Tribolium castaneum: one gene and its partner. The protein of the gene in region 2 interacts with the protein of the main gene of each other region in a pairwise test. Links are inferred from orthologs where the notes say so. Each region holds a gene or a part of one and is shown on either strand. Other genes may lie near its edges. The genes, in order: Kap-alpha3 and ci.

Region 1 (3,927 bases), on a different chromosome or scaffold from region 2:
CAGCGATACGAATCGGAGTATGGAATTTGCACGAATTTACATTTGAGAAAGCTAACAATCCCGGAGTTAGGGAAGTCGTGTGTCGGACGATTTTGGAGAACGGGTTTGTAGAAAAAACATCGTGTGAAGCACAGGTTTTGAGGAAATTGTTCCAGACTATCGATATTAGCCGTCCAAGAGGTAGTTAATGTCACAGCAATGAAATTAATTTGTGATGAGCTCAACAAGCCAAGGTTGAGACGAGTCAACGAGTGGAAAGATAAAAACCATAACTGGAATTTTTGTATGCTGGATGTAGATGGGTCCCAGTTAGGTTTTATCTATGACTCAGATGGAGGTGCAACACTACCTATTTCTAATTTTATTTTTATGACTAATTTGTTTCCAGTGATTGATATTGAACTGATATCACTGAACCAAGGTCCACAAGAAACAAGCGATGACTGCGAAGTTCTCATAGCAAGTTTCAAAGTCGGCGATTTAGACTTACAACTAGTTAACATGAAACTAAACAAAAAGGCGAAACTGGACGTGTTGCAGGAAAAAATAAAAGATCTAATTTCCGAAGAAGACATGCTTTTATTGTTTGTAGACTTTTCAGCTATTCCTAACATAACAGGTAAACTGCTGATAACATAACTAAACATGCAAATATTTTTTAACGAAATTGCCAATTAAGTTGCATAATTACTTACATCACAGCCTTGATGGATGGGAACTTCGTTCTTAGACGGCTGGTCGGGTCAAGCAGGCTGTGCCACCTAAGAGGGCGACATCTTACGTCAAATATAATTGTCAATTCTGATAGTAGTGAAATTAGGCATGCAATGCGAAGTTAGCGACAAGCCGTAAAAAACGAAGTTCTCTATCTATCAAGGAGGCTGTGAATGACAGTGGGCGTGTTTGCAGACGACTGGTTGACAATCGGGGGTCTCCAAGCAGCCTTTCCGAGTTCGATGAACACGAGTTATTTGCGATCGAAGTTGGGTTTAAAACCACAACACATATCAAATATTTTATGTAACAACAAAATCCAAGGGCAAGTTACGGGTATTAATGGGGTGGTACAGCAAGGTTTGACCCATTTGGCCATTCCCAATGGGTGGAATTGGGGCGGACCGGCGTCTCCTTTTTGCCCCGTCTGGATGGAATTGTTTCTAAACCCCAATTCTGGGACGGCGTTGTGATATTATCTTATTTTGTATTTAATTTTATTTATTTTTGACTGGGTATACTTCACGTAAATTTTACAAATTTATGGCTGTGTGTCGGACGGTTTTATTTCTAAGCTTTAAAGACAAATATGTGGGGGCACAGATGATTTTATTTTGAAATTGTGTTTTTGTTCAGAAATTTTCAAAAAAATTAGCGGGCGAATTTTGCAATAAAGGGCCCCGATTTCGTACTCCCTGTACTGTAACAACTTAGTCTTGTATTTGTAATTATTTAATAAATATTATTTTATTAACAGTGAGTTTTATTTATCACAAGTTCGGTCCAACAAACAATCGAGTGCGTAAGCACCGCACGTGAAAAGTGTGACCTTGACATCAGCGTGCCAACTTTAAAAACTGAAAGTTTTGCCGAAATTATTGCAAATAAAGGTGTAGTGTCCATTGAAACAATAAATTTGGCTTGATTTTGAGCCTACAGTGAAAAGTTGTGGTTTTAATGTTAATAAGGTTTAGATTGTGTTAATTTTCCCGATCAGCTGTCCTTCCGTTGTGTTTGCCACCGTGCGCGCAACCTGTGCAACCGATCTTTGTAGCAAATGGGTATGAAAAAAATACCCAAATTACGTTAAATCAGTCGGTAATTTTGTGATAATCGCGTCCGAACGTTTCCCCCTTCATTTTTCATGTTATCATAACGCCAAATCGAGTCTTTTACGTTTTAAGAGCGCCACCCGGCTTTTCCTCGTGTTTTCATCAGCCCTCCATTGTCAAATCTATCAAAATGGCGGATACAGGTTACAAGAATCGCATCCAGAATTTCAAGAACAAGGGAAAAGACCAAGATGTAAGTACCCCGCCCTTCCTTGCGCCCCACCGGCTCCCTTACTCCCGAAACACCCGTCCGGTGCGCCCCTTCTGACCGCCCCGTGTGCCCCCAGGAAATGCGAAGACGGCGCAACGAGGTCACCGTGGAATTGCGCAAGAACAAGCGCGAGGAGACCCTCCAGAAGCGCCGCAATGTCCCCGTGGTGGACTCCACCGACGAGGACGACATCGAGAAGTCGCTCTCCACCACGAACTTGGAAGAACTGGTGGCGCAAGCGGCCGCTATCGACAACCCCCCGCTGCAGCTGATGGCGATCCAAACCGCGCGGAAGTTGCTGTCTTCAGACAGGAACCCCCCGATCGACGCCCTCATCTCCAGCGGGATCCTGCCGGTCCTGGTGATGTGTCTCGAACGGTATGACGAGCCCTCGTTGCAGTTTGAGGCCGCCTGGGCGCTCACGAACATCGCCTCGGGCACGTCCGCGCAGACCAACAGGGTGGTGCAAGCGGGGGCCGTGCCCCTCTTCCTGAAGCTGCTGCACTCGCCCCAGCAGAACGTCTGTGAACAGGCCGTTTGGGCCCTGGGGAATATCATCGGCGATGGGCCGCAGTTAAGAGACTATGTTATCGAGCTCGGTGTTGTTAATCCACTTCTCTCGTTCATTAAACCCGACGTTCCGATTTCGTTCTTGAGGAACGTCACCTGGGTTATTGTTAATTTGTGTAGGAACAAGGATCCCCCGCCGCCTATACAGACTATTAGGGAGTTGTTACCCGCCTTGAATGCGCTTATTCACCACACAGATACCAATGTGAGTATGTACCAGAAAAGAGTCACAAAGGTGAGCAGTCTCATACTTTGCGTTACGTGTGAAAAAAATATAAAAAAGGGAAGAAAAAAAAAAGTTCACCTTTAATGACGTCTGAGTTTTAAAAATGTTGGATTCAACGGTGCGAGATTGGTGTCAAGGTCGCAATTTATTCTTTGTCCATTTTAATGATTTGCAAAAATACGTCTTCATCATTATTTTCGGTTGTTTTGTTAGTATTGATTACGACGTAATAAACAAAACAGTACTTTGGCTCTATAAACAAATTTTACGTTGGCAGAATCATTCATAAAATTTTCATTAATTAAAAGTTCAGAAGTAGGTCAGCTATAATTGTTTTCACTTATTAGGAGGTGTGACTCAGGTTTTTGTGACTCAAACCGGGGTTGTTTATAGAATATGAAGTTAAATTAAACAAGAAATATTTTCTTTACATTTAAATTATTCTTACCGATGGTCACATAGTCACAAAAACGTTATCAAGAATCAAGAATTACGAGATATCAAGAAAGACAATTTTACAAATAAAATATTTGTTTGAGATGCTGTCAAAACATTCTGGGATAATTAACATTTATTCTCACTTGTATAGAAGGGTTCTATAAATAATTGAAAGAAAAACCCTGGTTTCAGTGTCAGTAACAGAAACTGAAAGTTTGAAATTTTTTAGACGTTGGAATTTTATTTTAAAACTTTTCCATGTCCTTCTCGTCTGAAAGTAGATTTTTAGTCTCTTTGGCGACAAATTTCAAAGGCAAAATAAGCCTTGATAATTTTCGTAGGCTTGATTCGTCAGTCCTTAGATAACATTGTCAGGAATGTTGCATAAATAATAAATAAAAAAATATGAAGACATTGGAAGCTACTTAACATAAACAATTAAAAATGGATTTTTGTTATGTGGTGTAGTGGCAGCAATAACAAACAGTGTGGTTAATTTATTTGCGGTTTGTTTTTTGTACTTTTTAATGAAACGTGAAAATATTTATGTACATAATACTATTAAGATTTTTTATTAATTATAACAGATTCCTTACCTTTGTTGTTTTATGTAATTGTGGCATGTTGGCTTTTATTTAAAAAATCATAGAATTCAC
Region 2 (3,827 bases):
TCTTTATTTAAAATACTTATTTTTGTATTAAATACGGAAAGCCAAGGTTTTTTTTGAGCTTGATAATATTAGGTTTTTTATCGAGACCTTAAGATCGAGATGAAAAATACATTCGAAAGGTTTTAAACTGCAAATTAATAATTATTAATACCTATTCTGATGTTTAGAAATCTTGACATTACCGTGCGCAAAGTAAAACAAAAAACACGTGTTTTTGATTAATTGTATTTTTTTTGGATTTAGACTTTTGAGCTTAAGAAGTTTGTAAGCAAAGTCACGTAACATCTCTTAAAAAGAATCACCAATTCTAATAATTGGCATGTGAAATAATATCGACAGATTATTTCTAACAGTTTTTGTATGTGTGGCTTCATCTTTTCATCAGAAGACAGTGTAAAAGATAAGCTGATCGAAAGAAGTGTGAGGATGTTGGTTTAATACATTCATCTATATTTTAAGATTATACGTTTCTAAGCGTGATAATTTTTACTGGAGAATGTAAAACCAGTACAACTTTAAACGACGAAAAAAGCTTAAAAAAACACAAATGATATTATTCTTTCTGCTTCTGCAAATTAAATAATATCCATAAATTTTTTCAATCAGTTTTCTTTCTGTCAATAATAACATCTCATCACTTGTATTTTATTATTTTATTATTGTTTTAGTATTATTATTATTATTATTTTTATTGAATTTTACCTTAATTGTTGTATTAGATTAATTTGTTCATTGTTTGTTGTATTTTTCCAATAAAGGTTATTATTATTATTATTAAAAATTTTCAATTTAAAGGCGGATTTAGATTTTTTTGTCCCAAAATCCAATGCATCGTATCCTAATATCTGGGTATCCGTTTAACTAATGATGAACAACTTTTTTGAAGACCATAAGGAAAAACAAGGAATGCATTTTTTTAAGAATTTAAACTAAAGAGACAAAAAGCAAAAGTAAGAAAAATGAAAAAACTGCTGTGTCCTTCCCAGAGATAGAACGAAGGAAATTATTATTTGTTTCTTTTTCTTTAGTTGATAAATACATGAAATATCAGTCGTGCAAAAAAGATATTAATTAAAGTAATAAATTAAACTGCTAAATACAATTTAAAACTTGAACTAAAATAAAAGTTTCGATATCTCTTGTTCTTCACCTGTAGTCTCCATTTGTTTAACTGTTGCTAGGTTTGCTTGCAAGACAATAAGACGTATTTACTTGTTACAAAACCACAGACTCGACGTTAAGTATTTTGGAGTACAAGAACGGTAAGTAAAATTAATCGCACAAAAACTACCATTGTTGGTTTGGGACCGAAATTCCTAGCTTACCGAACCCTTCCTTCTTATTCTAGTACTTACTTCAATCTTCCGAATTTGTGAGCAATTCGATCAGAACTTTGTAAACAAACGACTCCACGTAAAATACAAACTTACCTCGTTACTGTGTGTCCGGTTTTGGTGTTTCGCCCTATCCGAAGCATTACTGAACGCTTTGGAACAACCAGGATATTCACAAGTGTACGGTTTTTCACCCGTGTGAGATCGTAAATGCGTTTTCAAATTCTCCAACCTCGAATAGGCCTTAACACAACCTTCAAACTACAAAAATCAAATTAATAAACCAAATTATTGGACCACCAAATTAATATTTACAGTGCACTTGTGCGGTTTTTCCCCCGTGTGTCTCCTCATATGCACCACTAGCATATATTGCGCTTTGAACGGCTTTTCTGCCCTCGAACACCCGTCCCATCGGCACACAAACGATTTTTTATTTGCATGTATGTGATCGTTGTTAATGTGCTACAACCATGCATTAATAAAAATAGTTTTAAAGCCTGATTAAACATACTTTAACAAGCTCATCCTGAGTCTGAAATTCGGTACCACAATCCTTCCAATGACAGTTAGTTTCGATAAAATCGCCAGGTTCGTCTTTGAGATCAGTTTGGTCGTTTTGTCCCTCGTTAATCGTCCCACTGACTGCATTACTCGGTTCTTTTTTAATTTTAATTTTCCGCGCTTGTGCGTCCGAATCTAGATGAGTTAAGGTACCAGTCTCAGATTTTTTCTTATCGTTAAGGGCCTGAAAAATCACTGTTTTGTTTTGCTGTTCCTTGTAGTTATTTTTTTTTGGCTTACATCAGTCTTGGAAATGTTGTGGGGCGAGGAGACGTGCAGGGGGTGGTGTCCGAGCGAGTACATGGAGTGCGTGGGGGTGGCGGGCGGCAGCGGGAGGAGCGAGCCCGCGCTCCGCATGAGGTGCGCTTGGAGTTGCTGGAGGTGCAGTTCGGGGTGCATGTTGAAGGCAGGGCTGATGGCGCCGGCCGAAAGGTGTCCATAGGAGCCGCTCGCGCTCGACGACCTCGAACCATTGACCAACACCAGCGAGTTGGGGGAGTATCTGATGGAGTTGATGTCGAAGGAGTCGGAGTAAGGGGAGGAGGATAATGCCCGCTTTCGCGACTGCCTTATGCTACCCGGCCTGGGACTGTTCAGCCGTGAACCTGCCAAAGCGCACATTACACAAAGCACAGTGCGGTAAGTGATTAATTACCGTCGATGCTAAAAGGAAATTCGCTGCTGGCCAACGCCGAAGATGGATGCAGGTCGGATAAGCCCCGCGCGCTGAGGTATTCAGGAGAGAGTCCCAGTCCTGGAAATCGGAAAAAGTAATTTTATAACAAATAACACGAGTTTACAGTAGGTTGGCTCAGGTTTTTTGCTGCTGTTGAGTGTTGGACGCTGATTTCCAGACTCCCAACAGATTTTTTCTATCAGCTCTAGTTTTTGAAATGTAGGAAAGTCAAGTAGCATTTGTTTAAAGAAAGGACACAAATTTAATCATTCACTTTTTGGTGCCTCTGATTTTGTTGTATTGGGTGCTGATTTCAAAACAGACAACAGACTTTTTTTATAAGCTTTAGTTTTCGAGTGATAGGTAACTTTATTTTCTATTTTATTTTCTATTTTAGCATTTATTAAGAAAAATATACACAGCTTTTTTAGCCACTTTCTCCTCTGTTGCTTCTGATTTTTTTTGCCTTTGTAAAGTAACTGTTGCATGCTGATTTCAAATCTGCCAGCAGATTTTTTCTACCTGCTCTAGTGTATGAGATATAGTAGGCACATACTTTTCATTTGCGCTAGAAGTGCTCTAAAATAGATATTTGCGAAAATTGTTGAAAGATAAAATTTTGTAAAGCAGTGAAATTCATAAACGCTCCAAAATTCGGAGTATATGATAAAAACGCTTTTCTTTATAAAGTTTATAAAACTTTTTGCTTATCTGTCGTTTAGCGGCTCACAGAACTCAGAAAATATACAAAGAAATTTATGTAAATTAAGTCTTATAAGAAGATTTAAATGAAATAAAAAAAAAACTACTGGAATGAAAATAACGTTTGCTGTAATGTTTGTAAAATAGTTGCGGTTAACCGCAATTGAAATGTTCGGGTGGTTTTTCTTTATAATTTTCAGTGAGTGAGTTTTTGTAGGGAAGTTGCCACTTGATGCATTTTTTTTATAAAATAATAATTACATTTACTTACCAATTACAATTATAATTATCAATTTTTTAATGGATTATTATAACAAGATAGTTCCTAATTTTCCAACTACTAACAAAATATTACTCACAGCAAGAAATTACGTGGAATAAATACTTTGATAACTTTCAAAATGGTGATTCAAGGAATTTACCTGACGTGGATAATAATAATCAATTTAAATAATCACTCAAAATCTGCATTTACTGCATTTGTTTCTCTATGCATGTGAATTTTTTCAGAATTTTACTACAATGCCTTATAACAAATATTAAGAGGAGGA

What was found.
Region 1: the proteins of ci (region 2) and Kap-alpha3 interact in a two-hybrid assay, tested with the Drosophila melanogaster proteins (2 studies listed by BioGRID). The link is inferred for Tribolium castaneum from reciprocal best matches to the Drosophila melanogaster genes ci and Kap-alpha3.

What each region holds. Positions count from the first base shown.
Region 1 is NC_087398.1:4,900,139-4,904,065, reverse strand, and holds the start of Kap-alpha3 (importin subunit alpha-4), read left to right. Parts: upstream 1-1,577; 5' UTR 1,578-1,956; coding exon 1,957-2,019; intron 2,020-2,113; coding exon 2,114-2,812; intron 2,813-3,927. Other genes in the region: endonuclease/exonuclease/phosphatase family domain-containing protein 1, read left to right, coding at 1-103, 156-337, 389-619, 910-1,187.
Region 2 is NC_087394.1:31,482,265-31,486,091, reverse strand, and holds part of ci (transcriptional activator cubitus interruptus), read right to left. Parts: intron 2,653-3,827; coding exon 2,554-2,652; intron 2,504-2,553; coding exon 2,139-2,503; intron 2,083-2,138; coding exon 1,849-2,082; intron 1,800-1,848; coding exon 1,650-1,799; intron 1,596-1,649; coding exon 1,431-1,595; intron 1-1,430. UniProt on the Drosophila melanogaster protein: Has a dual function as a transcriptional activator and a repressor of the hedgehog (Hh) pathway. The full-length ci form (ciFL), acts as an activator (ciA) while ciR, its C-terminally truncated form, acts as a repressor. Involved in segment polarity.